4 linked regions of the Lonchura striata genome follow. The protein of the gene in region 1 interacts with the protein of each later gene in a pairwise test. Links are inferred from orthologs where the notes say so. Each region holds a gene or a part of one and is shown in the gene's direction. Other genes may lie near its edges.

The links.
Region 2: the proteins of PPFIA1 (region 1) and FAM161A interact in binary tests that used the Homo sapiens proteins (3 or more experiments, as listed by UniProt). The link is inferred for Lonchura striata from reciprocal best matches to the Homo sapiens genes PPFIA1 and FAM161A.
Region 3: the proteins of PPFIA1 (region 1) and PPP2R5D interact in binary tests that used the Homo sapiens proteins (3 or more experiments, as listed by UniProt). The link is inferred for Lonchura striata from reciprocal best matches to the Homo sapiens genes PPFIA1 and PPP2R5D.
Region 4: the proteins of PPFIA1 (region 1) and TXLNA interact in binary tests that used the Homo sapiens proteins (3 or more experiments, as listed by UniProt). The link is inferred for Lonchura striata from reciprocal best matches to the Homo sapiens genes PPFIA1 and TXLNA.

Annotation. Positions count from the first base shown.
Region 1 is NC_134608.1:54,940,167-54,947,784, reverse strand, and holds the start of PPFIA1 (liprin-alpha-1), read left to right. Parts: upstream 1-4,610; 5' UTR 4,611-5,377; intron 5,378-6,459; coding exon 6,460-6,723; intron 6,724-7,618. UniProt on the Homo sapiens protein: May regulate the disassembly of focal adhesions. May localize receptor-like tyrosine phosphatases type 2A at specific sites on the plasma membrane, possibly regulating their interaction with the extracellular environment and their association with substrates.
Region 2 is NC_134605.1:24,993,051-25,000,550, forward strand, and holds the start of FAM161A (protein FAM161A), read left to right. Parts: upstream 1-4,387; 5' UTR 4,388-4,408; coding exon 4,409-4,528; intron 4,529-5,683; coding exon 5,684-5,931; intron 5,932-6,368; coding exon 6,369-7,500. Other genes in the region: CCT4 (T-complex protein 1 subunit delta), read left to right, coding at 112-251, 449-545, 857-967, 1,208-1,338, 1,433-1,667, 2,185-2,298, 2,578-2,595. UniProt on the Homo sapiens protein: Involved in ciliogenesis.
Region 3 is NC_134605.1:18,812,598-18,819,750, reverse strand, and holds the start of PPP2R5D (serine/threonine-protein phosphatase 2A 56 kDa regulatory subunit delta isoform), read left to right. Parts: upstream 1-4,120; 5' UTR 4,121-4,194; coding exon 4,195-4,221; intron 4,222-4,508; exon of another isoform or gene 4,509-4,535; coding exon of another isoform or gene 4,536-4,553; intron 4,554-4,993; coding exon 4,994-5,101; intron 5,102-7,153. UniProt on the Homo sapiens protein: The B regulatory subunit might modulate substrate selectivity and catalytic activity, and might also direct the localization of the catalytic enzyme to a particular subcellular compartment.
Region 4 is NC_134628.1:994,305-1,001,428, forward strand, and holds the start of TXLNA (alpha-taxilin), read left to right. Parts: upstream 1-4,105; 5' UTR 4,106-4,286; intron 4,287-4,769; exon of another isoform or gene 4,770-4,887; intron 4,888-5,273; 5' UTR 5,274-5,298; coding exon 5,299-5,407; intron 5,408-6,618; coding exon 6,619-6,945; intron 6,946-7,124. Other genes in the region: KPNA6 (importin subunit alpha-7), read left to right, coding at 168-295, 1,008-1,186, 1,993-2,177. UniProt on the Homo sapiens protein: May be involved in intracellular vesicle traffic and potentially in calcium-dependent exocytosis in neuroendocrine cells.

The DNA of each region.
Region 1 (7,618 bases):
GTACTTGAGTGAGAATGTGTGGTTTTGGTTGCAGGAGTGACAGCTAAATTTGAAAAACATTTACAGTCTTGACATAGGTATGATTCCCACTAAAATAAATTGTGTAAGTTCATCTGGTCTTTTAAGAGTCCTCTCCAGGTCTCCAGGGGCTTTATAGGGACTTTTCATCTTAAGATCAATTCAAAAACCCTCTTCAGTTTCAGAGCAGCCAATTCCCATTTGATTTACACCTGCCTGGATCTGGCACAGATCCGTGTAGACCCACATGATATAAATAAAATGTCAATATAAAGGACTGTGCTGTGTTGAGGTTTGTAGAAGTCGTGGCTTCCATTGCCCAAGGGCTGACACATTTACTGGTGCACTTAGCTTTATACATGGGCATAACCATTAATTACCTCTGTCCTCTTCTTCACAGGCCACCTTCCAGCCTCTTCCCTCTTATTCCTTCTCCCTCAGGCAAAGTGTCTCCTCTGTGTAGCAACCTCTAGAGACTTTTTTAATGGCAACAGAATGGTCCAGGTCACATCTATCTACTGACAAAAGGATAATCAGCGCTGCTGGCAAAAATCCTGTTCTTACATCTATCCATTTTGGTATGAAATGCCTGAAATGTGTTCAAAATTCACTTTGCTGCTAAGTCATTAAGTCATCTGTAAAGGACAAGGAGCAAATAAGATACCATCAGCTCGACTCGGGAGGGGGAAAAAAATAACCAACAACTGTCTAGGCGATCTTGGGCTATTTTCAGCAGAGGTTTTGTGCTAGCGTGGGGTGGCTCTGAGGCTCGCAAAGGAAATTTCGGCATAAATGAAGCGCGAAGCCGTCAGCGGAGAGCAGCAGGTGTTTGTCCTCAGAGCCCGCGGGCAGGGCAGCTCCGGCCCGACCCCACACCTCACCCGGCACGGGCTGGCAGGAAGAGCTGCCTGCTTTGCTGAGCTTGGGTAAACATTAGGATCTAATTTATCATGTGACAATAAAGGAAACCTTTCCCTTTCTCCCAACCCTTTTTTTTTTTTTTTTTTTTTTTTTTAACAGTCTTTGTTTGAATTTCAGCGTGTGGTTTTTGAGGTGCAAAGAGTGGAGATTTAACCTGGGTCTCTGGACTGATTACTTTGCTGTCAACTGATGTATGTGGGGCTCTTTCCAGACACATCCACAAGTGTTACGTCTCACTAAATTACATGAACAGGGAGCCAGACCTCTTGCTGAACTTACAAAAGAGACATCACACTCATTTAATTAAAAAGATCTGAGTTGCTGGTGTTCTTCATGTTAGATGGTATATCCTGGGTTACATGCCCAGGAGAAATGAAAAAAAAAAAAAAAAAAAAAAATGTTTTCCTTGTACTACAAAGTAAATAGGACTGAGAAATATTTTAGTATTTGCAGAGCCTGGGAGTTCTGACTTAATCATTCCATGTGTATTTCGTGCAGCACAGAGCATTATGCAAAGATCTGGTTATTCAATTTTTTTCTCTAGAATTTCAAGTCCTGGCCTTCCCCGCTGATGTGGTCCCGGCTTTGGTGGACTGCACATGGGAGTAGCAATTGGCTTTAAAGTCAGGCCTTTCAAATATTTTTGGGGCACCTCAGAATCTCTGCTGGATCCACAGTCTGGGCTCTGTGTGGCATTCATAGAGCCTGTTGCCTAAGGAAGGTATTTGCAGTATTCCACATGGGAGCATATTCCTTAGCTAGGATATTCTGGATGTAGGTTCCCTCCTGGACTAGGCCATCCTTTTGGGCATGAATACAGCGCCTCCTTCTCATGTAGCAGACATTTATATGCTGTGGGAACTCTGTTCCCACCTGAGGCTGAAACCGATTTCTCAAGAAAGTGCCTAAACACTGGCACTTCCACCCTCCTCTGAAACTTGTGTACAGAGTGATTTGAAGGTAACAGAGATAAAGGTGACAACTCCTTGAGGCTGAGGAGGGTCTGCAGCTAAAACCTCCTGCCTCTTAGATGGGAAATCCAACCACAGATGTGAAGAGCTGAGCAAGCTGAATGTGAGTGTGCCTTGTTAACAAACTGGGTGAAGTGAAAATTAATATACAGAATTCATCCATTTTTATTCTTAATTCAGGATTGTGTCCTAGATTCTTTGTTTTCATAATGAAGTAGGATTACAGAATGGTGAAAATATTCATTTTTTGGTTTTAACCACTTAAGGACTAAACAAAACTTAGTTTCAAAAGAAAAAGACACTGGGTTCTAAGGCAACCCAGACTGAGAGAAAATGTTACTCCATGTTTGAGGATCTACATGAATACAGAGGTTCATTAATTTATTCCACATGACCTGGCTCCTAGATCAGTTAATCCGACTGGATATATTGCAGTGTCCAGTTTGGGAGAGATTATCAACTCTGTGCCCGTTACAGTCTTTAACCTTTTGCCCTTTCATCCACAAAGTCTCCATTTGACTCGTCAAATCAGGCCAAAACAGTCTTTCTACTAACATTATTAATTTTCATTTTTTATGTGTGACGAGCTGAAGTGGAATGGTATTTGTTCACACAGCCATGAACTCCACTTTATTTTCCAGCCTTGTTTTGGTATTGCTGGAGCAGGTTATCTTGAGGATGCTGCCTTGGCAGCTGCTTAGCCTGAAGTCTTTTTCATCCACTGAAAATCTGGATCAAAGCTTATAAATAAAAGCATTTACCTATGTACAGATTAATTCATAACAATTCACTTTGGAATCTTTTTGCTATTCTTCCTACATTGAAAAGTCAGACCTCAGTTATTCAGACATTCAGTGTTAAATCTGATCTATATTCAGCAGAATTCATTATTTGAATGTCCCTCATCATATTTGGCTTTTTCCTCAAAGTTCCAGTTCCCAGAGTCATGGGATTACATTAGAAACTTCAGGAGGAAAAACAAAAATGTAATCTAGACCTCATGGCTGTACAGGGAAAACTTAAAAAATGTGACTTGAATTCACTCTAAAGGCTCAAATACCAAAGGGAAAGAGCACAGTGTAATAAATGTGTAAAGAATTTTGTGTGTGGAAAAGGAAGATTGACTCATTAGCGATCCTTTCTATCCAGTGCTAGGTGTCGAGATGTTGTGTTTAAAAATAAATTCACATAATCCAGCCACAAATCTGCAAAACCTTCTGTGCAGCGACTGCTGCTTTTTGGCATGACTTGCCTCTGTCTGCCTAACTGGCCCTTGATGCCTTTTAGAGCTTTCGACTGTAAAAGGAACAACAGGGTCAAAATGCAAATACTTTATTCAGGGTGGTAGCACAAATGCGAAGAGAGGAAAGAGAGTTTTCTAAGCTTTGCCTGGCAGACTTCAACTTTCAACTCATGGGCATGGTGAAGGCTCCACGAAGAGAGTAAAAGCTATAGAAATCCAAGTGGGAAAACATTTCTATGGTGTTTTGGAAAAATAATAGTCAACATAGCCAAACCCAGTTTCCTGTGGGGAACAGGCTAGTCAGAGAAGTTGTTCTTCACTGTGCGAGGACCTGGCAGCTCTGCTCCACAGAATCACAGAATGGATTAGCTTGGAAAAGACCTCTGGGGTCATTGAGTCCAGTCGATGACCAAACACCACGGTGTCAACCAGGACATGGCAGTGAGTGCTACATCCAGTCTTTCGTTAGACGCCTCCAGGGATGGTGACTCCAGCACCTGCCTGGGAGCACATTCCAATGTCTGATCACCCTTCGCGTGAAGAAAGTCTTCCTAATGTCCATCCTGGCAGCTCAAGTCAATGTCCTCTTGTATCCCCTGCTCTTGTCCAGGCTGAGCCCCCAGCTCCCGCAGCCTCTGCTGGTGCTTCACACCCTTCCCAGGTCCATTCCCTCCTCTGGACCCGCTCAGCCCCTCAATGGCTTCGGCCCGAGCTCCCCGGAGCCGGTCCCAGCCCCTGGGCTCGCAGGAGCAGCTTGGGCCAGCGGGGCCGGGCGAGGCGCTGCGACTGCGGGGCCACTCCGGCCTTGCCCTGTTCCCAGCCCGAGCTCGCCTCCTGCCCCGGGGCTCCGCTGCGGCTTTCCCGTGGGCGGCGGCGGTATCGCTCCCGGGGCGGGCAGCGCCGAGCGGGTCTCGAACCCCCGTCCCCAGCGGCGGGAGCGGGGCAGCGGCGGCCGCGCCGCCCCGCGCGGTGCATTGTGGGCGCCGCGCTGATTTATGCGGGGCCGCGGAGCGCGCCGGGAGCGGCGGGAGGAGGCGGCGGCGCGGCGGGGCCGGGACCGGCGGGGCCGCGGCGGCGATCGCGGCTCTCCGGGCGCGCAGCGCTTCTGCCGCCCCCTGAGGCCGCGGCGGCGCCGCGGGCGGCCGGCACCACCCACCTGGCCTCAGCCGACCCCGCGCCGGCCACCACGGACGTGGAGGCGGCGGCGGGCGGAGCCGGGCCCGGGCCGAGGGGACCGTCCCGGCGCGGCGGAGCCCCCGCCTCTCGGTAGGGGCCGGAGCGAGGGCGGGCTCGCCGGGGCCTCCGCGGCCGGGCTCGCTCCGCAGGGGCTGCGCGGGGCCCGGGCCGGCCGCGCTCCCGGCGCCGCTGGGGCCTCCGGCGAGGAGCGAGCGAGGCGAGGAGCGAGGCCCGGCCCGGTGCTCCCCGAGACGGGCGGGGGCAGCGGGAGAGCCCGGCGTCCTGCGCCCGCGGCTTTGCTAGCCGGCCCTCCGCGGGCACGGGGAGCGGCGGCACCGGGCCGGTGCCCCCGGAGCTGCCGGCTGCTTTCTTTGCCCGCTCTCGGTTGCGGAGCATCGTCTGTGGGACTAGTGCCGAGGAAACAACAGGTCTCGCTCCCTGCTCGCCTTCCTAAGGACGCCAGCGCCTTGCTCTCGGGATTATAAATGTTTGAACTAAGACGCAGGGAACTGGAAGGAGAGCTTCCCGTTGGAATTAATAGAAGAGAAAAGAAGGGAGGCTTTTCCAAATCCTCTACACGAAAGCTCGTGCTGTTTTCCCCTGCTGTCCGTACTCTGTTTAGTAACGCGATTGTGACCTGAGTGGAATTTATGAGCGATGAACTGTTGAAGCTTGTTGCATCTCTGCATCGGACATTTTTTCTTTTTTTGTCAGCACATGATTCCTCCATCCCAGCTGTTGCAGGGCCTATGGGCCAGTAATAGAGGGATGGGAAGCTGAGACAGTTTATTTTCACATTCTTCTGTACTGGGGACTTGGCGAGTTAGCTGAAGCTGCTGCTTTTTACCGGATCTGCTCTTTTCTCGGCAGGTTTATTCTTTTTTTTCATGTGTTTCGATTAAACAGTTACTGGACTGGAGCTGGATGGGTGCTTTGCAATCCAAAGGGTTTTGGGGGATAACAGAAAACTGCTAAAACAGAGAAGAAGACCTGGTGCTGCAGGAAACCTGGGGCCTGTTTTCACAGCCTTTTCGTTTTGTTGAGCAAGGTAAATAACGTAGTGGTGAAAGTTCAGGGCTTATTGTAATCATGCATGAAAATGTTGCAAAGCACTTCAGATTGTTCCTAGTCTTTCAAAGTATTGAGAGGACCGACAGTAAGAATCAGAATGGATTGTTTTTCAGATGTGAGTGTAAAATATAAGGCTGAGAGCAAAGTTTGTGGTACCTGAGAGGTTTCGGGAGCTGCTTTTCTTGATTTTTGCTTAAGTTCTTGTAGATTTGTGCTTTTGAGAGAGATTGCCTGAAGAACTGTGTTGTTGGTTCAGTGATTTACGAGTGGGTTTTTTCCATGGTTTTTAAAGCCTTAATGCCTTAGCTCTGGTAGGGATCTGTTAAGGTCTCTCAAAGGTGCTCCCAGTTGTGTGCTCACTTCCAGTAGTGCACTCCTCCTATTTGCATTGTTAACTGTATTCATCCTCTACCTTTAATTATTTTTGCTTACCTTTACTTTTGCTGTCCGCATTGACAGCTGCTACTACTCCATAATGAATTTTTATCTTCCTTTACATGTTTTTATCTCCCGAATTGGACCATTTTCATTTACTACTCATTTACCATACATTACTTTCACCATCATAAAACTTCCACAGTCAACATACGCTCAAAGTACTGTTGTAGATACAATCTTTGTACATTTGAAGCAGTGGAAGAAGCAGATAATGTTTCCCAAAATGTGCAGTGTAATAGTTTGCTGGGTGAAGTGTATAATTTTTGGTGTCAGGCTGCATGCCTTATCTTTTTTTTTTTTTTTAAAGACCTCGGCAGCAGTTTACTCCTCAAAAAAGCATAAATCCGTTAAAATGAAGTCACAGTTTGAGACATAGATGCAAAAATCTGGTTTTGCAAGAAGTCACAAGATTCTCATTATGAAGCAAAGCCTTGATTAAGTTGACTGTGTACCTTTTCTCCACTCTTAATGAAATAGTGGCAAACGCCAAGGTGTTGGCAGCCTTTGCTGATGCTATCGTGGGGAGAGCTAAGTGGGTACTACGGGCAGCACTCAAAGTTCCTGTTTAGATTTGTTTGACCGAGATTTCTGGCCTTTGTTGTGTCTCGTTTTTGTTTCAAGATGATGTGTGAGGTGATGCCAACCATCAGTGAGGCCGAGATTCCCACCGGGGGAAATGGAGGCCACGGTTCAGGTTCCCCGTTGCAGTCAGATGCTGATTCCCACTTTGAGCAGTTAATGGTGTCCATGCTGGAAGAGAGGGATCGCCTGCTGGAAACGCTCCGCGAAACTCAGGAGACGCTCGCGCTCACCCAGGGCAAGCTGCATGAGGTTGGCCATGAGAGGGATTCCTTGCAGAGGCAGCTCAATACTGCACTTCCACAGGTATGGACGTTTGGGAAGGCAAGGGGTTTTTCAATGATTTTTGTGTTCTTCGTGGTGTGCTGTTGGCTTTCTGTAGTTTGGTTTACTGAAGAGTTAGGTTGTCTTAGGGGAAGATGAATCTATCCTGAAGGATTTTTTGGTGTTTGCTCACTTTGAGAAAGATGCAAAAGCAAGGAAAGCAGGGAAGAACAGCCCTTTCTCTCCAGTCTGCTTTCCCAGTTTCTGGAATTTCCTTAGCATAAACGTAGAATGGTGTCTACATCTTTTGTCTAATAGAACTTGATGGACCTTTTTCTGCAACTAGTACTTTTTAAATGCTATTTCTTAATTGCCTGATTCATTAAGGTACTTAAGAATTATTACCTGGTCTAGTGGGAGGTGTCCCTGCCCACAGCAGGGGTTTGGAACTGGATGGTCTTTAAGGTTCCTTCCAATCCCATTCTGGGATTCTATGAATTCCATACAGACCATTTTGACTCTATTAAAGACTTTGATTTAAAACCTTGAAGGCTACTGCCTTGTGAATGCATGCTGAGTTGTCATGGCAATATAGAAGTCTGAGTGTGTTGTTTAACCTGTTTAGTTACTTTTGAAAAGTTTGGATTTGGCTTTTTTTTTTTTTTTTCGTCCTGTTAGGAGCTCCTAATTAGTGCCTTGTGGAGAATGCACGTGGCCTGCAGTGCTAGGTTTGTTACGTAAGGAGCATTGTTAGGAAAGGTGATTGGTCTCTGCAGAACTCTTTGGGTTTTATCCATTTGAGTTAAAAATAAAACTGGACTTTGAACATATTGAGAAGCCTTTGGCTGTAGGCAAAGCAGGGGTTGCTTTGAGGTGTTGGTTAACTGTTGACAGCCTTGGTCTTTCTGGTGTGGTGGTTGCTGTCCCAAATGTGGCA
Region 2 (7,500 bases), on another chromosome or scaffold:
AACTGTTTCTAATAGTATTTTGCTGTTATGCTTGTTTAGAACTACAGCATCTTTCATTAAAGAATGTGGCATGCTTTGACACTTGCTTTTTTCTTTTTTTAATTGAAATAGATGGACAACCAAATTGTTGTTTCTGATTATGCTCAAATGGACAGAGTGCTGCGTGAGGAGAGAGCCTACATCCTGAACCTGGTGAAGCAGATCAAGAAGGCTGGGTGCAATGTGCTGCTCATTCAGAAGTCCATCCTGAGGTACGTTAACACCCAGGCACTGGCCCTCTGCGGCACAGTAGGAATTGTTTGGAAAACTGAAGCCAAACACAAATCACACTTAGCAGAATAAAAATGGCTGTACCAGCACCCAGCACTGTCTGTATTTGGAGTTTGATGGCATCCTTACTTTGTACTCTGAAGAATTTGAGCACTGACTCCTTGCCTCTCATTTTCAGGGATGCTCTCAGTGACCTGGCCCTCCATTTTCTGAACAAAGTTAAGATCATGGTGGTTAAAGACATTGAAAGAGAGGACATTGAGTTTATATGTAAGGTAAGGTGGGTCATATAAATGAGCAGCAGTGTTTTAAAATCTACCCCCAAACTAACTGCCTAGCCAGGGCCAGTTTATTGTGATATTTTCACAAGTTTCATGTTTTGACTATAATGCAAGAGCAGACATTGCCCTAAAAAACATTTCTGCTCTTTTGAGCATTCACACTTCCATTGAAGGATTCAGGATACATGTAAAAGCTACAGTCCCTTCTGCATTTTACTGTCATATGCAGAAGAACAACATGCTGTGTACTTGCTGACTCTGCAGTCAGTCTCTGGATTAATTTTTTTTCCCCATTATTTTTCCAGACTATTGGAACTAAGCCTGTGGCTCACATTGACCAGTTCACCCCTGACATGCTGGGCTCTGCTGAGCTGGCAGAGGAAGTCAGTTTGAACGGTTCTGGGAAACTGATAAAGGTGAGCAAGGAACAAAGTGTTAATACCTACTTAACATCTGCCTGATGTTTTAATAACTGGTAGCTGTGGAATTTATTACATTTAAGTACCTGTTTCTAATCTCTGAGTAGCCACCGGCACAGTGGTTTTGGTTGGCCAGACATCAGTGCTGTTACAGAATTTGAAAATGCCAGTGGCAGTGTCTTTTTGTCCCAAACTTCTATTTGTTCCCCAATGTCAGTATCTGGTTTTGTATTTTAGATTACAGGCTGCACAAACCCTGGGAAAACTGTGAGCATCGTGGTCCGTGGATCCAACAAACTCGTGCTGGAGGAAGCTGAGCGCTCCATTCACGATGCCCTGTGCGTCATAAGGTGCTTAGTGAAGAAAAGGTAATGTCTCAGTTGGGTCAGTTAGTAACACTTAAAGCATGATTGTGTGTGCACTTGTGTGAAGTGAGGTTTGATGTCACTTCTGTGCCCTCAGGGCTTTGATTGCTGGCGGTGGAGCCCCAGAGATCGAGCTGGCGCTGCGGCTGAATGAGTACGCCCGGACGCTGAAGGGGATGGACTCCTACTGTGTCCGTGCCTATGGGGATGCACTTGAGGTCATTCCCTCCACCCTGGCTGAGAATGCAGGGCTCAATCCCATCTCCACGGTGACAGAGCTCAGAAACAGACATGCCCAAGGAGAGAAAACAGCTGGCATTAATGTCAGGAAGGTAATGAGGGGTTGTAATACCTGGGTGTTACAGGGGAAATGCTTAACCTCCTTAGGGTTGGACTAAGGAGGGGGCAAGCTGGTAGCCTCCCTAAAATTACAAGGAAATTACAGCTTGTTCTCTCACGAGCTCACCCTGAGCATTGATAATAGCAGATATTATCTGCTTTATGCACACGACAGGAAACATTTCATGTCTCCACAAAAGCGATTCAGCTACAACAAAAGATCCATTTAGAATGATCTGTAGGTAGGATCTACAATGAAAGGTGGTCATGAGTTGAGAGTAGCACCACAGCTTTTTCTCAGTTGGCAGTGTTGACCTTTTTTGTTGGCTAATTTTGACTGGATATGGCAAGTGCTTGGGGAGGGAAGATGTGTGCTGTAATGCCCTTGCTGCAGTTGAAAGCCTTGTGATAGTCCAGGAGTTGACTGCCCTCAGGATTCTGGTCAAAGAAAAAGTGCTATATGCGACTGTAGTGTGTCTTGCACAAAGTGAAAGCTCCTTGTTCGCCTAGGGTGGCATTTCCAACATCCTGGAGGAGCTGGTTGTGCAGCCTCTGCTGGTGTCTTTGAGTGCACTGACCCTCGCCACAGAAACCGTGCGCAGCATTCTCAAGATTGATGATGTGGTGAGTGGTGTTGATATTGTGGTTTGGGTTTTCCCTCCTTCACAAGCATCAGCATGTTGTCATTCATTTGCTGTGCTTCAAAATGCAGTTACTGTGTGAGTGTTCTCAGTTTGTGTGCTGCTTAAGACCCTTCAGCTTTTTAATAACTTCAAATGAATTATAAGTACTGCACCATAAAGCAAGAAATTAGAGTTACTAAAAGCCCAGGATCTTTAAACAAAGAAGGAATTGTGATATATCCTGTGATTTCTTCTGCCTGACTCTGTGTCCTCCCTGCAGGTGAACACTCGAGGATAAGCTGAGCAGAGGTGGGGACCATGGCCTCAAGCTCTTGCCCTAGCACCTGTGTGAATTGTCTTAAACTCCACCAAGACTGATGTACTTTGATCGGGTTTAACTTAAGTTGGTTTTCAAAAAGAAAATGCTGTTATATTAATAAACACACAGTAGTCTACCTGACTCTTTGCTGTTTAATTTCTCTTGGAGTTTATGTTCAGTTACGTTAGCTTTTCTCTGCTCCTCTTTAGGGCTGAAATGTTTAAGGCAACCAGTCACTTCTTGTGATACATTCTAAAAACACCCTTGAAGTGCACTCTAACAACACTTACCTAGTTTATAGCTGCTTCTCCCAAAGCTTTCCCTAAGGGAGTAGTGGTACTGCCCTCAGCGATGCCAGGCTAGAGGGGAGGAGGATCTTTGCAGTGGGAGTACCTCCCATTCCTTGCTTTCCTGAGGTGTGCATCCTGATGCCATCACATGATCCAGAGCCCTACAAAAAGTGTTCTTCCCATGGTTTCCTCCCCCTGGCCCCAGAATAATTGCTTTTCCCAAAGCTGGCTGAGAAGTCAAAAGTACACTGCTCTATAACAATGCAAATTAGCTTTCCAACTCCTAATTCTTAGCGTGACATTTTGAATTAACCCTTTCATCTCCATTATTGCTACATTGAAACAACCTGATTCCTTTTCATGTTTAAAGGAGAGTGTTTCTTCCATTTCTTTTCACATTTCTGTTCATGATTGGTTGGTTTGTTGCATGGTTGGTTGGAGTAAATTTCCACCATGGTGTTGATCTGTTGTGACTTGCCAAGTAGAACAGAGTAACTCAACTACTAATTAATAAATTAGACAATTGATTTAGGCATTAATGTTCTGCATTAATTATGCATTGCCTGTTGAAAATCGCAAATAGTGCCTTACCCCGCAGAGTCACATCCAACAATGATCTTAGTTTATGTACTATGATTAAAGTTTTCATCCCCCATTATCACAGTTAAAATTATTGACAAGAATTACAGCATCAATTGTGTGTGATTTAATCACAGAAAGTATTTATAATTTCACTACATTAAATAGGTCCATCCAGCATTAACTCTGCTTTGTAGAGGAATATGTCCTCATAGAGGATAGAATATTCCTAGGGCAGAATATTCCTGCTTCTGGTTTAGGATAGAATATTCCTAGGACAGAATGCTCCTGCTTCTGGTTTAGGATAGAATATTCCTAGGACAGAATCCTGCTTCTGCTTTAGCCTTACCATGCAATTGCTTACCTGAAGTACAAACTTCAAGACGGAAAACCTTCTTTAATAACTTGAGGGCGCGAAAAACGCAGGCTCGCCTGTGAGAATTGGAGGTTCCCACTAAAATCCTGCAAGAAGTTACCTAAAAATCCGCACGGGCAGCGGCTGCGAGCGCGGCGAAGCCCAGCCCAGCCCAGCCCGTGGCCGGCGGCGGCGCTCGGGCCGGGCGTTAACGCGTCGCGCTCCGCCCCGCCCCGGGGCCATCTCCGCGAGGCGGAGCGGAGAGGAGCCGCCTCCCGGCACCGCCTCCCGGCCCCCCGGCACCGCCTCCCGGCCCCCGGCACCGCCTCCCGGCCCCCCGGCACCGCCTCCCGGCACCGCCTCCCGGCCCCCGGCACCGCCTCCCGGCCCCCCGGCACCGCCTCCCGGCCCCCCGGCACCGCCTCCCGGCCCCCCGGCACCGCCTCCCGGCCCCCCGGCACCGCCTCCCGGCACCGCCTCCCGGCCCCCGGCACCGCCTCCCGGCCCCCCGGCACCGCCTCCCGGCACCGCCTCCCGGCCCCCCGGCACCGCCTCCCGGCGCCCGGGCATGGAGGACGCGCACCGGGCCGCCCGGCTGGCCGCCTCCTGCCTCCGCACGCCGCTCGACCCGCGCACACGGGCTCCCGCCGCGCTCTACGAGCGGGGACCGCCGCCCGCCGCCGCGCAGGTACCGCGGGCACGGCCGAGGGGCTGCTGGGCACCGGGGGACGGGGGCTCCGCCTGAAGCTGCTCTGCAGAGGGGTCACACGCGCAGACACACACACACACAGACACAGACACACACACACACACAGACACAGACACACACACACACACACAGACACACACAGACACACAGACACGCACACACAGACACGCACACACAGACACGCACACGCACACACACGCGGGGGACACCTGGCAGATGGCCCGGCCGCAGCGCCGATCCTTTAATAGGCTTGTGGCAGCGCGGCGTCTGGAGACCAGATGTAGGAACTGGCCTGGCCTGCCCTGCCCAGGAAAGGGGAAAGGGCTGGCTGGCATCGTTCCGCGGGTCGAGAAAAGGAGCTTGGCTCCTACACGCCGGTGGCAGCAGCAGGTTCGGGGAGATGGAGTGTGCTGGCGCTGGGGCTTCTGTGTGGAAAAGTAGTCCTCTAATTTTTTTTTTTTTTTTTTTTTTTTTTTTTTTTTTTTTTTTTGGTAAAGAAACTGGCCCATGACTTTTTAAAACATGCTGCTTAGAACAAAATGAAGCTTTTGTGATGCTGACTAACCTGGCTTTAATAACTTCTCTGACTTGTGGTGTAAGCTTTAAAAATGCTTAAAGAGTATTCACTGCACACAGCTGCAAACTGACAATCAGTATTGGAAATATAAGCTGCACAGAATCCCTGTCATTTCACAGTAAGTTATGGAAATGGAATAAACATTTATGCACCGCATCTGTAATTACTTCTTTTCAGACTGGTTATGGAACTAGGAGGCAGAGAAGGTTCTGTTTGCTTGTAAAGAAAGGCATTTTTAGAGCTGCATAGTAATCAAGGAAAAATTACACTTTACAAAATAGTTAATTTTTTTCTTTTGGTAACTCCTTTTGATTATATTTCCTGTTATAAACATTGATTACAGGGCAGACTTGGGAATTTTTACAGGCTTTAAATAGGACCCTTAGGATAAAAATTAATATGCAACAAGAACATTCCATGTACTTCTACATTAACATTTGTATACAGGTATCTCTGTGTAACTTTAGCAATCCTTAGACTTAATTAGAATAAACCAATATTAAGAACCTTGTTCCCCTTCCTTCTAGCAGAAAAAAAATTATGAACATCTCTTCTAGGATGGCTTCGACTTGGATTCAAATACTAACAGAGAGCAGGCCTCCCCTCCAAAGAGAGACTGTGACACGTGGATAGACTTTTCCAAAATGTACAATTCAAATCAAGAGTATTACTTGAAGCTGGAAGAGTTGAAGAATGCCCACATGGAGACAATGGCAAAACTGGAAAGTATGTATCAAAACAAACTCTATTTAAAAGGAGTACAAGCCTTGGATAAAAGAAATGACACCTCTCCAAAGTGCTGTAGGTAAGTTTGGGGGCAGTTCAGTTTTTTAGCTGAAGATTCCCAAATGCTTTGCAGGCAGCTGTGTTTCTGGGCTGGAAAGTGTTCCACTCCCCAACACTCATAACCAGATAATCAGAGAAAAGTCAGTTTTGAAGATAAAACCACTCATTTCCTTGCTAGTGGTCTGTGAGTTTTAGAGATGCGTGTGCAGCAGGGATTGGGCAGCACATTTAGGAAAGCACAGGGCCTTTCCCAAGTCAGGAAGTGCTGACTTGGTGACCAGCACTAAAACCAGGATCTGCTTTGAGTGCCCTGTGTGCTGCTCTTTTCCCTTCTCTTGCCCCTCAGCCACTTGTTTTTGTTTCTAGTTATGATTCCTTAGAGTGGAAGTCACCAGCTTTGCATCAATGTTGGACTGGCTCAAACCAAGGGTTTTTTTCTCCCTCTTTATTTTCAAGGCCAACTTGGGACAAGAGTTCATATCAGCCTCTTAACCTGCACAAATCCTTTTCAGACTCAGACTTAAGTGATCCCTTGGGCTCGAGCGTATCGGACACGTCTGATGAAGAATTAGTGTTTGAAGAAAACTGCAGCGGAGCTGGATCATCCTTATTTGCTAAGCAGCAGATTGAAAAAATGTGGGATGGCTTCTGCCTGGAAGACTACATTTCCCATGCCAAGCACAGCTTGCCCAGCTCACCAGCCTGCAGGAAGGGGCACAAGAAAGAGAAAGTGTGGTCCCCCAGAGTCACCGTGCCCAAGCCCTTCCAGATGACCATCAGAGAAGCTCAGAAGAAAGAGCAGAATGTCAAATCCAAGTCACAGATTGAGCTGGAAAATCACTTACTGAAGAAGCAGCTGGAGGAGGAAGCAGAGTGTCAGAAAAAGTTCCGAGCCAATCCCGTGCCCGCCGCCGTCTTCCTGCCGCTCTACCACGACATTGTGCAGCGGAACGAGGAGCGCAGGAGGTCTGTGAGGGAGAGGAGCAAGCTCAAGCTCCTGGCTACCCAAAAGCCCTTTAAATTCATTGAGCGAGAGAGGCAAAGGCATGAAGCCAGGAAAATGCAGTTAAAAGACCTTTCCCTGCCTGAAAATAAAACTAAAGTGTTCAGAGCGAAACCAGTCCCAAAATGTGTTTATAGTCCAGATTTCCGTGACAAGGTAAAGGAGGAGGAGCTCTGCAGGGAAATCAGGATCAGGATGAGAGCTGAGGAGCTGCTACAAAATTCATCTGTACCCAACAGCAGACTGGCCTTAAAAGAGACCAACAAAAAGAAGAAACACAAGAGCACTGAAGCAAAGCGAATGGAACACAAGCTCAAGATCAAATCGAGCATTCCCGATTTTGAACTCCTACATGAGAAATTCCAGAAACGCCTCCTGCAACAAAAAAAATTAAAACCCCTCACAGTCTGTGAGCCTTTCGACCTCTGTACTTCATACATTCCCTCAAAAAAGGACAAGATCTTGAAGGACATGCAAGAGGATGAGGAAAAATTGAAGGAAACAAGGTGGCCATTTGCCTCTCCAAGACGGAAGCCTCAGATGGGGCAGTCAGGGGCAAACCCACATCTCCTGGGCGAAGGAAAA
Region 3 (7,153 bases), on another chromosome or scaffold:
AATTCCAAGTTAACCCTCGTGGTGGAATTCTGGTCAACTTGAGAGATTGTTGAGGCAATAGTCCTCTACAAACCTTACTTCTGCTGCTGGTATAAGCAACCCAGGGTGAAATTCTGCCATCTGTGGTCAACAAATATTGTATCTGAACAATGCAAAACAGCTGAGGAAATGTGCTGACACAGGATTTCTTACCAGTCAGTAATTTCATGTAGTTCTACAAAACATGTACAGGAAGAACAGGAAAATCGAGTCAGAGTAAAGGTTGGGAAAGAATCTGGGATTTCTTAGCTCAAGGCATGAACAAAGATTACAATAGAGCAATAGTAGAAACTATTGCTATGGGCAAGGACACATTCCAAAGAGTTTTTGTATGTGTGGAGTGATCCCAAATAGGTCTGGAGACACCATGGGGCAAGGACACAGCCTGCTGGACTACACCAGTGTCAACCTCCTTCCCATCCTGTATTCTTCAGAGGCAGCTGCACCTGGATTCACCAGCCTGATCTGGAGAAGAGGAAGACTGATGGAAAGAAAAGGGCAGCAAATGAGTACTGATCCTTAGTAACACTTTCAAAAGAAGGAATGAGAGCTGTTTTTGGCTGTGGATGAGCTCAAACAAATCTCAAAAGACAGAAACCAGAGCAGGAGATACTGAAGGGACATGGAAAGACCAGGAGAAAGTTTTGGTTAGGAAACCACTGTGAGAAAAGTCTCTGGAGAGCACAAAGATATTCAAAGCAGCAGAGAAATCAGAAAAGGGGCAGAGCCATCTTCTTTGAGATGGTACTTGAAAGGGGAACAAAAGCCAAGGTGAGGTAATTCAAGGCAGAACAGACACTGCAAGTGCTAAAGGCAGCCTCTGGCAATGCAGAGAGGCCTGCTAGGAGGACAGCTTTCTGTTCCTCAGCACCATGGGCTTCTTCATCTGCTTGCCCAACTATTGTAAATGTAGGTGAATTTAGTGGAAAGAAATGATGATGTTTGACCCTAGTTTAGAAGGTTGAATGATTTTTTTTTAATTTTTAATTATACTATAATACATTAATATACTATTTAAAGGATATACTAAAACTATATATTTACTTTTTCTAACTACTCTATCTAACTCACAACTTGTGATCCTCTCTTGACAGTTTAGACACAAGTGGATTGGATTAGCCATCAGGCTCAATCAATTCACACCAGAATCTAATTAAGCAATTACCCTAGGTAAACAATTCTCTAAACACATTCTACATGGGGAAAATAAGGAGCAGAAATATAAATTGTTTTCTGTTTCTTTCTTCTGTGTTCCTCTATGAAAAGTCTTGAAAGAGAAAAGAATGTGCCTGGGACACCCAACTGTTTCCTAGCTGGACCATGTAGAGAAAATTATGAAGAGCTCAGATAGAAAGTGGAGCCATACTTCCATGCTGAATGCATCCTTCCTGAAGGCAGGAGAATTCACATGCCCCCCATCCCAAGCTGCTCCCAGTCCCCTGCCTTGCAGTCCTAGGTCAGGGGCTGACTTGTGGCAAGACAAGACTGCTGGGTCTGGCCCAGCAGGTGCTGCAGGTTGGTGGCATAACAAGGCTTGTGGCCCCAGAGCAGGGTGCAGAAGATGACCTCAGGACTCCATGTGTTTGCCAGGAAGAGGTCACAGGGCTTCTCCTGCTGGATATCAGTACAAGCAGAAGCATAGGATTGGCAGAAGCTCTGGCTCATTGCTGCCTTGGTGGGCAGTCCCTGATGTGGGGAGACCCTGAGGGACTCCCCACTGACATCATGCCATATCACCCTTCTGGAAAATTTGGAGATGGGGACCCTCATGTTTTTTTTCTGTCCAGGAAGATGTTTTCCAGGTTTAAGCTTCTGCCAAGAATAGGTAGCATGTGCTGTGGGCAGGCAGGGGCAGATGGAAGGTGGGCAGATGCTGGGCCAGGGAGGTCAGGAGGCAAGAAAGGAGCTGTGGGTAAATGGGAGGCCAGGGCAGGGAGGAGAGCTTGGACGGTAAGCAGTAGTGTGGAGGCAGAATAGGTAAGGATGCAGTGCTGCAGTCAGGTGTGGACACGAAAAGAGGCTTCCAGGAAGTTCTTCATTACCTGGGCTGGGTACCCCAAGCACCTGCTCTGGGATTCTCCCCAAGGGGGCCGGTCCATGAGGAGATGAAAGCTGTCTCCATGCCTTGGCTCAGCGGGATGAGCCCTTCAGGATCCGTGGACACATGGGCTTGGCATCAGATGGCCCTGCCCTCCACTGGCTCCCCTTTGCCTTGCACCCCCATCCCCTTTGCCCACTGCTGCTCCCCTAACCCTTGTCAGTCCCCCACAAAGTGCCCACCATGCCTCCATCCTCCTGAAGCTCCCAAGAGTTCCCTGCCCCTCAGAATCCCTGCCCTTTGCCTCACAGTGCCCCCAGTGCCCAGGAATTCCCCAACCACTCCCTGCTCCTTTGAACCTCAAAAAACCCTTGCCACATTGAGCCATCCAGTAGCACTGCTGCCCACGAAGCAACCCAAAGGTGCTCCCATTTCCCCCTTAGCCCCTGATGCCCTGAGGACCCTCAGATACACCCCCTTCCCTGCAGAACTTTGTGATGCTCAGGGGCTTCTCCTGCTGCCCCTGATAATGCCACCTTCTTACCCTGCCTGCATCCAGTGGGGCAGGAATTTTTTGGAGATGACCTTGATGGCCACCTTGTGCTACGGTGTTAGACGGAAGTTAGGCCCAAACATCAGTCATTTGACACCTGGACAAAGTCAGGGGCTAAATACCAGTTCACTGAAGCTGAGTTTCACCAACCTCCAGGACCAAGGAAAGCCAATCCAGAATTCCATGTGACAGCTTATGACAAGGAATGATGATAACTACAAACTATTCAACTAAGTGGCTTTTACCTGCTCACACAGGCAGTTTCCTGCTCACAAGATGGTTGTGCTGGGGCTGTGGCCAGGGTCACTTGTGCATGACAGAGGAAGAACAGAAACCAGGACCTTGCTCTGCTCCTGGGTATCCTATGGAGTGCCAGTGACTCAGGTCAATGAAGATGATAACCACACTAACAACAGGCTGATGCACTGCTCTTTCAAAACACGCTTAGGGAATTTCTTCCCCACATGCCACACCAGGTTAGCTGAAAAGACTGTGCTCCTGCTGAAGCACCTCTGATACCACCCAGTCCCCTGCTTCTCTCCCCATTCATGTGCCACATTCCATGAGATCCTTACCACTGGCCTGGCTGCAGTGAATGGGAGCTCTTGCACCTCTAGCAACAAACCAGCAGACACACCTTAAGGACAATGATAGGAAGGACTGACATTAGACCTTTGAGACATCATGAACCCTAATGAGGTGCCCCTTTGCCAGCAGGTCCTGCTTAAGTCCATGAAATCAAGGACAGCTTGCTACCTGCTGGTTGCTTTTTGCCCACCTGGACCAACAAACAGGTGGGCTTGAAGGTGACACATGGAGGCTGTTGGGACACCATCATCCCACTGTAAGGATGTAGGACCAGCTGCTAATGAGCTAATCGAGCTGCCTTGCCCCATGTGAGCAGGGAAGTGTCCTGACCCCATGTCCCAGTAACAGCCTTCTTATCAGCAGCCACAAAGCTCTGGCTATGCTGGGCCTCGCAGTGCTCACACGCACGTTTCCATTCACCCTTAGATCCACCAGCTTCCCTTATTCCCACGGGCAGCCTCCCCAAAACTGTGTATCGGAGCACTAATAAGCACCTCGCAAGGCGGGAGTGCAGACCCTGGGGCCAGCTCAAGCTGTTCGGGCTCCTCCTGCTCGAGCGAGGCAGAGGAGAGCTGGGCAGAACAAGGAACCTAGTCACTTTTCCTCCCGCTCTCGAGGAGGAAAACACGCAGCGGGGACCCGAGAACCCCGGGCAGGCGCCTGCCATGTCCCGGGGAGCCCCGCACGCCCGGGTCCCTCCCGCGGGAAGAAGCCGAGCCCGAACCCGCGCCCAGGCCGCTGCCCCGGAAGAGCCGCTCCCGCAGCCCCACCCCCGAGGGCGTGCCCGGCGCCCGCGCGCCCTGTAACCAATCAGAAAAATCAGCCGCCCTGCGTCAGCGGCACGCGGCGGCGGCGGAGGCTGTTGCTAGGCAGGCCGGCGCGCCTGGCCCAATGGGAGCGGGGCGCTGCGGCCGGGCCCGGGCGCAGGCGGCGGCGGCGGCGGCGGGCGCGGAGCGGTTGGGGGCCGGCGCTCACCATGCCCTACAAGCTGAAGAAGGAGAAGGTGCGGCCCTGGGGGCGGCGGCGGTGCCGGGGGAGCTCCCGCGCGCGGCGCCGCGGCCGACAGCTCGCTCCCGCCGCCCCTCCCCGGCGCGGCCTTCCCTCGGCTCGGCCCTCGGGCGGGGGCGCGCACGGGGCTGTGGCCGGCAGGGGGCGGGGGCGCGGGCGCGCTCCCGCGGCGGGCGGGTCGGGTGGCGCAGGAGGGCGGCGGGGGCGCGCGCGGGCCCGGGGAGGCGGGCGGGCGCGAGGGGCGGCCGGCGGTGCCGCGGTGCGAGCCCGGCCCGGCCCGCCCTGCCCTGCGCTCCGCCGGCCGCGGGGATGCTCCCGGTGGGGGAGGTACGGCCGCACCCACCTCCTGGCCCCGCTGCTCCCTCTGCCGCCGGGCTGAGGGCCCGGATCCGCCTCTGCCGCCGCCCAGGGCGGCCGGGCCGGGGCCGTGGGTGCCCCGGCACCGCGTATCTGCGATGAGGCCGCGCCCCGGGGAAGGGCTGTGTGGGCACTGGGCCCTGTCACCCGCAGGTGACCCGACGGGGTCAGCTTGCGGTGACCGGGACGGGAGATGCCAGCATTGCTCCTGGGCTCGGGAGCTTGGCCTCGTCCTGGGCGTCAGCGGGAGCCGCTGAGGATGCCTTTTCCAGGGAGAAAGGGCTGGGAGTGGATGTCCGGAGCAGGGCGTGCTGCAGGAGTGGTCTATGGCAGCACACATCTCTGTGCAGAGAGATGCTAAAATTCAGAACAAGGTGAAGTTTTCTCTGAATGTGTTCTCATCCTTTCAGGAGTCTCCAAAGTCTACCAAAAGCACCACAAAGCCTGGTGGCAGCAGCAGCAGCAGCAGCAGCAGCAGCAGTAGCGGGAAGGATGGTGGGGCAGAGAATTCAGAAGAGGTAAGGCTTTCACCTTGGGTACAGCAGTGTGCATGTGCAAACTCATTTTTGGGGAGGAATTAAATCTTTCATTTTAGCTGTTTCAAGCTCTTCCACCAGATAACACATGTCACCAGGATCTTAAGAAGTCAGAGCAGAAAATTGGCCTAAAGGGAGCAATGACTATGGATGAGACTGGTTGAGTCTCATACCCTGCAGACCTGCAAAAAGACATTTGGCACAAAGCGGAGGGCGAGTGGTGCTCACAGAGGTGGGCAGGGCATGGCAAAGTTGGCTGCAGAAAGGAACATGACATGATTATCAAGAAGGTGGAAGCCTGACAGATGGGAGCAGCTTCTATGCTCTTGTCAGAGCAAAGTGCAATCAACTCTGTTGTCACTTTGTGTCAGAGTGGTAGAGTAGTGAGAAGCAATAGGAAAAGATCTCTTCTTCTGAGGCATTTTCTGGAGGAGTGAGATTAGGAAGTAATGGATAGGAACACTTGAAAGAATAAACTGCTAGAGATTCAATGTCTCTCCTTTGGTATAACAGCCTTGTTGCTGAATGCAGCATTCCTCACAAGAAGGCACAGTCTGTATTCCCAGATGTGCAGTCTCACTCTCATTTTGGATGTTTCCAGGGTAGATACATTAGAATGGCCTTAGCAGAATATGATAGTATGATAAGCTGTCCTTAGAATTAGTGCAAATTTGTGTTCAGTGGAACTTTTCTCATAGTCCTGATTTTGTCTGTCATTCAGGCAGTGGTTGTGGAATTTGAGAATTTGTCTCAGAAGAATGTTATACATGTCTGAGGAAGCATGCATGCATGTATGTGTGGTTTATTTATTTTAAAGCTGCAATTTAGCAAACAAGCTGTGCCACTTCTACATTCATAGAAGCTTGTGTGCTCTGGTCTTGTCTGGAACACATTGCACTTGTAATTTGGAGGGTTGGGCATGGGAGAGATGTAGGCCTAATCAGGGCTAGGAAGAAATGTGTAGTACAGTGGTGTGGTTGTAGTCAATGTTATTTTAGAGTCTTCTCCAAAGCATAGATCTGCATTGCAGAGCCTCAGAAAATCAGCCTACTTCAAGCCACTCAGTTTTGTGCTCATGCCTGACCTGCCATGTGGCCAGCAAGGAGTCAGAGTCTTACTTTGTGTGCCTTGGAGCAGGGAGCAGTTTTGTAGATGCTCCATCATGGCCTTTGCTTCTATCCATTTTGTTCTGTGTATACAGCTGAAAATAGCTTGGTGGGAGAGCTGCCTGCAGACTCCAGGGAAGTGAGAGAGCTCCTGCATTGGCATTATGGGGTCAGACCTTTTATTTATGTGGAACTCTTTGCTGAGTTCACAGCTCTGGAAAGGTGTAGGAAAGTCTGGGTCTTGCAATGGATAGCCAGCAAAGCAGGTCACTCTGATGTGCCCATCCAAATCAGCAGTGGGCTATGGCACTGCTCTCCTGGTTACAAGTGGTGCAGTAAGAAGGAAAGAATGTCACAGGTGACAAGCTTCCTTTTGTGACCTGAAATGGCATGTAATATTTACCTGGGTGCAGGAGAAACTTAGAAGTGATGTGTCTAAAATTCCCTCCCACAAAACATACCCAGCCACTTCCTCATACTCCAGACAAAATCCAGCCCTCCTTTTAGATGGAAAGCTGTGTCTCCTTTGATCATAGGAACAGAGAGCAGGGCAGAAAGGAGACACTTCTGCAGTGTGTACTGCCACAATCTCTTCTTCCTTTCTCTGTTGAGTCTGCAGTGAAGTTTGTTCCCTCTTAGTGTTTTCCTATCTCTGGAGTGCTCTGCTGCAGAATGGAAGAGAGCTCTTTGCTTGATAAGAAGAAATGTATACCAGTTTGAATGCGATTTTCTTGCTCTTCAGGAAACACAAAAAGGTATTTTGACTTTCACAATGTGTGAAGAATTAGGTAATATGTGCTGGGAGCAAAACTCCTTCTTTATGTCAGAAGCAAGAGGTGGTTTGACTTGTGAAACACTGGGAGTGGTGTTGTCTGGTGGGGTTGATGGGCTGAGCCCAGCATGGATACCTCTGCTGTCAGAGTTTCAT
Region 4 (7,124 bases), on another chromosome or scaffold:
GTGATGGAATATCTCCTTTTAATAGGATTTGGCTGAGGAACAAACCACAGCAATCACTTCAGCTTGGGAAGTTCTTCACCTGGGGATGTGGAAGTGGAGGTTTCTTTCAGGAAACCTTTTGGGAAGTGCTGCCAATCCCAAGCCCTCTCCCTGCCCTCTCTTCCCAGGCAGTCATCGATGCCAACATCTTCCCGGTGCTGATCGAAATCCTGCAGAAAGCGGAATTCCGCACGCGGAAAGAGGCGGCCTGGGCCATCACCAACGCCACCTCGGGAGGCACCCCTGAGCAGATCAGGTATTCCTGAGCCTCCCCTCCTGGGCCACACCTGCCTGGGGTGGAATTCAGGCCAATTTCCAGGCAAAGGAGGAATTTGGAGAGATTCTGGAGAGTAACGGAGACAGGCAGAGCTGGCTGCTGGATGAGGATCCCAGATTTTCTCCATCTCTCTTTGGGTAGTTGAGGCTACATCTCCAAATGTAATGACAGATTAAATCCCAGTGTGGACTTAAGTCAAGCAGCACCTGGATTTCAAAAGTGGCTCAGGTCAGATATTCCCTGAGCCTCCCCTCCTGGGCCACACCTGCCTGGGGTGGAATTGAGGCAAATTTCCAGGCAAAGGAGGAATTTGGAGAGATTCTGGAGAGTAACGGAGACAGGCAGAGCTGGGTTGTGATTTCCTGCTGGATGAGGATCCCAGATTTTCTCCATTTCTCTTTGGGTAGTTGAAGCTAAATGTCCAAATTTAATGACAGATTAAATTCCAGTGTGGACTTAAGTTGGCAGCACCTGGATTTCAAAAGTGGCTCATTTCCTTAAAAAAAAAAAGATTTCTGAAAATAGGGCTGCATACAAATACAAATAAATGCATCAAAATTAACCTTGCAGAGCAGTAAATGTGTATTTTAAGGTAAATTTCTGGATTTTAGTTGGACTCCTTTGCTTTCCCAAGGAGCCAAGGTGATGCTCCTGAGCAGGCAGTGATGTTGGTGCTGCTCTCCCCCTGCAGGTACCTGGTGAATTTGGGTTGTATCAAACCCCTGTGTGACCTGCTGACTGTCATGGACTCCAAGATCGTTCTGGTGGCATTGAATGGGCTGGAAAACATCCTGAGGCTGGGAGAGCAGGAAGCCAACCAGAGTGGGACTGGGATCAACCCCTACTGCAGCCTGATCGAGGAGGCCTATGGTAGGTGGGGCTTTGGGCACTGCAGGGCTCTCTCAGCTGCTTTTCTGCTCTGTTGAAGGGTTTGTTATATTCCAAAATAGCCAATATTTGTTCCAAAATCTTTTCAAACTCGTTTAGTGAGTGATGAGAAAAATAACTCTGACCTGGAGTCCAAGCTGAAAATCGTGGCTTGCACCAGGTGGGAGTATGAGCCAGAAATGAGCTGAGCTAAGTAAAAAGTGACACTTCTTGATCTAAAATTGCTCTGACTGTGCCCAATTTTACACTGGAAATCCAGGGAGATTTTGCTTTTCCCTGGAGTGATTTAATTTGCTGCTGTTGGATTTATTTTTTTTTTTTGGTCCTGCTCTCGATGCTTTGAGGGAGGAACAAGTTCCTATTTTGGTCTGAAACTCCCTGTGAGCTGGCAGTGTCTGTTTTGCCCTCTCATTATGGAATATCTGGAGTGTCCTGATTCTCCCTGGAAGGATAATTCCTGGAATTCCTGAGGGTGCCCTGTGCATGGATGCTTTCTGTGCAGCGCTGGATGAACCGGGGCAGCGAGAGCTGGAGGCTCCTGGCACAGGCCCTGCTCCTCCTCCCCACCCCCTGCAGCCACCAAATCCCTAATTTTTCATCCCGCTGGAATTTGGGATTAGCCTGCAGCTGGGAGCACATCTGGATCAGCTAAACCTGAGCAGGGGCAGCTTTGGCACAGCTGGGTTTAGGCGTGGTTTTATTCTGCTCACAGAATCCTTTGGAGGAGGGAGAGGGGATTTCTTTGCTTCATCCCATTCCAATTTTTTTTTTCTTTTTTTCCTTCAAAGGTTTGGATAAAATAGAATTCCTCCAGAGCCACGAGAACCAGGAGATCTACCAGAAAGCCTTTGACTTGATTGAGCACTACTTTGGGGTGGAGGACGACGCGGCCGTGGCTCCCCAGGTGGACGAGAACCAGCAGCAATACATCTTCCAACAACCCGAGGCTCCCATGGAAGGATTCCAGCTATAATCCTGGGGGAAACCTCCAAAAAAAAAACCAACAAAAAACAAAACAAAAAAAAACCCAAAAAAACCCACCACAAACTTTCTGGAAAGTTTGGGAGAGCAGCTGCAGGTCCTGGCTGGGAAGGTTGGACACCCACTCCACCTGTTTGGGAGAACTCGACAAACACAGAGAGCGCCCGGTGCTGCCAGAGAAAAGGGGAATTTCTGCTCTTTGTTCCTTTGGGCTGCTGCTCACCTTGGTTTGGAGGCAGGGAGGACACACAGGTGACAGCTAGCACCTCTTGGTGGCTTCTTTTCATGCTGGTGTCTCCCCAGTGCAGTTTTTTACCTCCAGCCTTGGGTTGGGTGAGGACACAAGAGAGGAGGGAGCTGTTCTGGCCACAGTAATTCTGCAAAAACCTGGCTTGATCTATTTAAATTTTCTTCTTTTTTTTTTTTTTTTTTTTTTTTTTGCACATGTTATTCTTTATTAAAGACTCTTTAATATGCCAAGAGCAAAATTTAGCCCTGGCCTTCCTCCTTCAGGTGGACAATCCTGGTGAAGCCAGGACCAGTTCCCTGATGAAAAATACTGAAAATGGACAGAAAAAATGAGAAGTTCTCTCACTGCTGGGAAGTTTGTTTTTTTTTTCCTGCTGCTTCCCTTTCTCTAGATTTTTTTTTTTTTGAAGAACTGCTAGTTGTATTTCCAAGGATTAAAAAAGCAACAAGAGCCCAAAGATGGGAACTGGGGTGGAATTTTTGGAGCAGGAAGCACACAGCTGCTGTTGCACAGGTTTGGTTTGCATTGTACTGACTGATCTCAGAGCTCTGAAATGCTGAAACCCACCTTCATCTTTACTTGAAATACTTTATTTGCCATGAGAAACGTGGGCTGAATTCGGGGTTTTTCCTGCCTTGGGGTGGTTTTGGGGTGGAGGAAGGTTTGGCTCCACCTGCCAGCGGTGATGGGAGCTCCAACAGCACCAGGTTTTCAGGCTTACCTCCTGCTCACAGTCAGAAAATGCACATTTTACTTCCAAAAACGGCAAATCTCTGTATTTTTTTATAGCATAGATAGGGAAATATTTGTCCAATTGGGCCACAGAGAAAAAACAGAGGTGAAATTTCTGTGATTCCTGTAAATAAGCGCTGTGAGGCGGGCACGCCTGGAACCCCCCCGGCGCTGCTGCTCCTGCCGGTGAGCGCGGAGCTCCCGAGCCCCCGCGGCGCCTTTTGAGCCGCGATTTCGGTAAAAACAGAGGAGCAAACACCCGGTTCCGGGCTGCGGGGCCCTTGTTGTGGAACGAATAAACTCGGCCTGTGCAGGTGTCCGGTGTGGCGTGATGGGGGGACCGGGGGGCGCTCGGTGACCTTGGGAGGGGCCCCCGGTGCCCGGTAACAGCGGCGGCGCGCGGGGCCTGCTGGGAGTTGTAGTCTCCAGGCCGGTCGTGCGCAAGGCATGCTGGGAGTTGTAGGCCACTTTTTTTCCCCCCCCCTCCTTTCTTTCTTTCCCTTCTTCTCCCGCCCTTCCTCCTCCTCCTCCTCCTCTTCCTCATCTGCTTTCCCTCCAAAGGAGCAGGGCGGGAATTGTTGTTCCCCAAGGCAGCCGTGCGCCGGGCATGTCGGGAATTGTAGGCCACAGTTCCCCCTCCTTTCTCACCCTCCTCTTCCCCAACCCCGGGGCATGGCGGTAGTTGTAGGATACAGTCTCCTTCCCCTTCTTCCTCCTCTTCCTCTTCTCCTTCCAGGCCTACAGAGCAAGGCCGGGAGTTACAGTTCCTATGGCGACCGCCGCGCGGAGCACGGCGGGAGCTGTAGTCCCCGCGGGCGCTCTCTCGCGGAGCACGCCGGGAGCTGTAGTCCCCTCAGCGCCTCCCGCCGCGCTTGCCGCCTCTCCCCCGGTGCCTCCCGGCAGGCCCCGCGCGGCGGGCGCTGATTGGGCGGCGGCGCGGGCGGGCGCACGCGCGGCCGTTGTGAGGCCCGGGCCGAGCCGCTCCCTCAGCGCCGGTACCGCCGCCACCGCACCGGCACCGGCACCGCCCGGGCACCGGCACCCGCCGGGCACCGGCGCCCGCCGAGCGCGAGGAACCAGGCCACACCTGCGTCAGACCGCCGGCGCTGACGTCACGGGGTGCGCGCGTGACGTCACCGCGGTGCGGGGAGGGGGCGGCGCGGGGCGGCTTTAACGGGGGGGTGGGGCACCGGGGCCGTAACGGGGCTGGGGGGGGCCCGGTGGAACGGGGGCGGCACGGGACGGGGCTGCCGGTGCCCGGGGAGCCATGGGCCGGGGGCTCCCGGGGGGGTGCGGGGCCGGTTCTCGCCGCCGAGCCCCGGTTATTGCTGCCGTGCCCCGGTTATTGCTGCCGTGCCCCGGTTATCCCTCCCATTCCCCGGTTATCTGTCCCGTGCCCCGGTTATCGCCGCCGTGCCCCGGAGCTGCGCGGGGAAAAGGAGCGCCCGAGGCGCGGGGCAGGTGCCGGTGAAGGGCCGGGCCGTGCCCCGGACACCCCGCACGTGGGCGGTGACACGGGCCGGGCTCTGCCGCCGCTCTGCCCTCCGGTGTTCCTTCCAGGAGTCCCGGTGTGACCGGGGAATGGCCCCGGTGTGACCGGGAACGGCCCCGGTGTGACCGGGGAACGGCCCCGGTGTGACCGGGAACGGCTCCTCCTTTCCCCCCGGTCCAGCAGCAGCAGCTCCCAATGAGGGCGACAATGATGATAATGGGAATTTGGGTGATAATGGGAATTTGGGTGAGAATGGGGAGGCTGAGACCATCCCGACCCCTCACGGGTGAGGATGAGGAGCTGGAATTTCGGGCTTCCTCAGCCAGGGAATTCAGGAGGAGTTGCCCTCTGTGCCGTGCAGGTGCCGATTTTTGGCTCAGGTGTGAAATCCAAGAGCTGGGAAGGACAGAAAGGGCCGCGGGGGTTGTGCCCAGAGGGAAAATTCCGTTTATCTGCGGGCTGGGAGCTGCTGCCTTGCTCCAGAGCGGCATTCCAACGGGAATTATCCCGACACAAACCCGGGAGTGGAGAGATGCTTCCCTCAGCACGGAGCTTCTGCTGCTGATGGCTCCCAAAATCCTGCAGATGTCCTCAAAGCCTTTCTGTCCCCGCAGAGCCCGAGGGGGTGCACGGGCTGTGATGAAGAACCAGGCAACGGAGGCCAAAGCAGCTCCACGTCCTTCCAGAAGGAGCGGCGGGATGGGGCTGGAGGAGGGAGACGCTCCGGAGGCTGCAGCCCCCGCGGAAGGTGGGGGACCCCTGGGGCTGGGGGGTCCCGGCCCTGCGGTGGGCGAGGGCGGCGTCGAGCTGCCACGAGACAGGGAGCTGCTTGTCCAGCTCAAGGCAGACAATCCTGCTTTTCCAGGGCAGAAAATCCTGCTTTTCCAGGGCAGAAAATCCTGGTTTTCCAGGTCAGAAAGTCCTGGTTTTCCAGGGTAGAAAGTCCTGGTTTTCCAGGTCAGAAAATCCTGGTTTTCCAGATCAGAAAATCCTAGTTTTCCAGGGTAGAAAATCCTGCTTTTCCAGGGCAGAAAATCCTGCTTTTCCAGGGCAGAAAGTCCTGGTTTTCCAGGGTAGAACATCCTGGTTTTCCAGATCAGAAAATCCTGGTTTTCCAGGACAGAAAATCATAGTTTTCCAGGGCAGAAAGCCTGGTTTTCCAGAGTAGAAAATCCTGCTTTTCCAGGATAGAAAGTCTTGGTTTTCCAGGGTAGAACATCCTGGTTTTCCAGATCAGAAAATCCTGGTTTTCCAGGACAGAAAATCGTAGTTTTCCAGGGCAGAAAGCCTGGTTTTCCAGGGTAGAACATACTGGTTTTCTAGTGAAGAAAATCCTGGTTTTCCAGGGCAGATAATCCTGGTTTTCCAGGGTAGAAAATCCTGGTTTTCCAGGATAGAAAATCCTGCTTTTCCAGCACAGAAAACTGTGGTTTTCCAGAGCAGAAAACTGTGGTTTTCCAGGGTAGAAAATCCTGGTTTTCCAGGGTTGAAAATCCTGGGGTTTTTCCCCTTTTCCTGTGTGTGTGCAGTCCTGGAGGAGTTCCCCTCTCCAGCCCGCTGCCAGGACGTTCCGCCTGCTCCATCCCTGTTTGATCCCAGCTGCTCTTCCCCAGGTTTAAAATCCATTGTCATGCTAAAAATCCCAGCCTTGGAGCTGCCAATTCCTCTGGGAGGGAGGTAAAAACCTCACACACAACCTGCTTCCCTTAAAAAGAAAAAAAAAGGAGTGGAGAGGGGGATATTCTCCCTCTTGACAGATGTCAGGGGCTTGGTCATGCTCTGCTGATCAAAACTGTTGGGAATTCCCTGACAATGGAACAAAGCAGCTTCTCCTGCTGCAAGTCCAGCCAGGAAAAACCTCCCATTCCCTGGGTGAGAGAAGGGAGGGAAGCCTCAATTTTTTTTTTGTTTTGTTTTGGTTTTTTATGTTCTTTTTTAATTTTTTCCCCCCTTTCCAAGCTGCCCTGAGCCAGGAGGATCCCAAATCCTCCCGCGACGTCTCGGAGGAGCTGAGCCGGCAGCTGGAGGACATCCTGAGCACCTACTGTGTGGATGCCAGCCAGGAGAACCCGGGCGAGGACGGCGGGCAGGGCGATGCCCCCGAGCCCGAGGAGCCCGAGAAGGGCCGGAGCGAATCCCCCAGGAACGGGGAGCAGGAGCCGGGCGGCCCCGAGCTCAACGGCGAGAAGGAGAACTCCAAGGGCACCGAGGAATTCCGGCCCGGAGAGGAGGCTGGAGACAGGGATCAGAAGAGAGCTCAGGAGAAGAAGAAAGCCAAGGGTTTAGGTGAGCGATTCCCAGCTCCCCAAGGGGTTTAGGGGAAAAATTCCCTGCTCCCAAGTGGTTTGGGTAAAGGATTCCCAGCTCCCAAGGGGTTTAGGTGAGGGATTCCCAGCTCCCCAAGGGTTTAAGTAAAGGATTCCCAGCTCCCAAGGGGTTTAGGTGAGGGATTCCTAGCTCTCCAA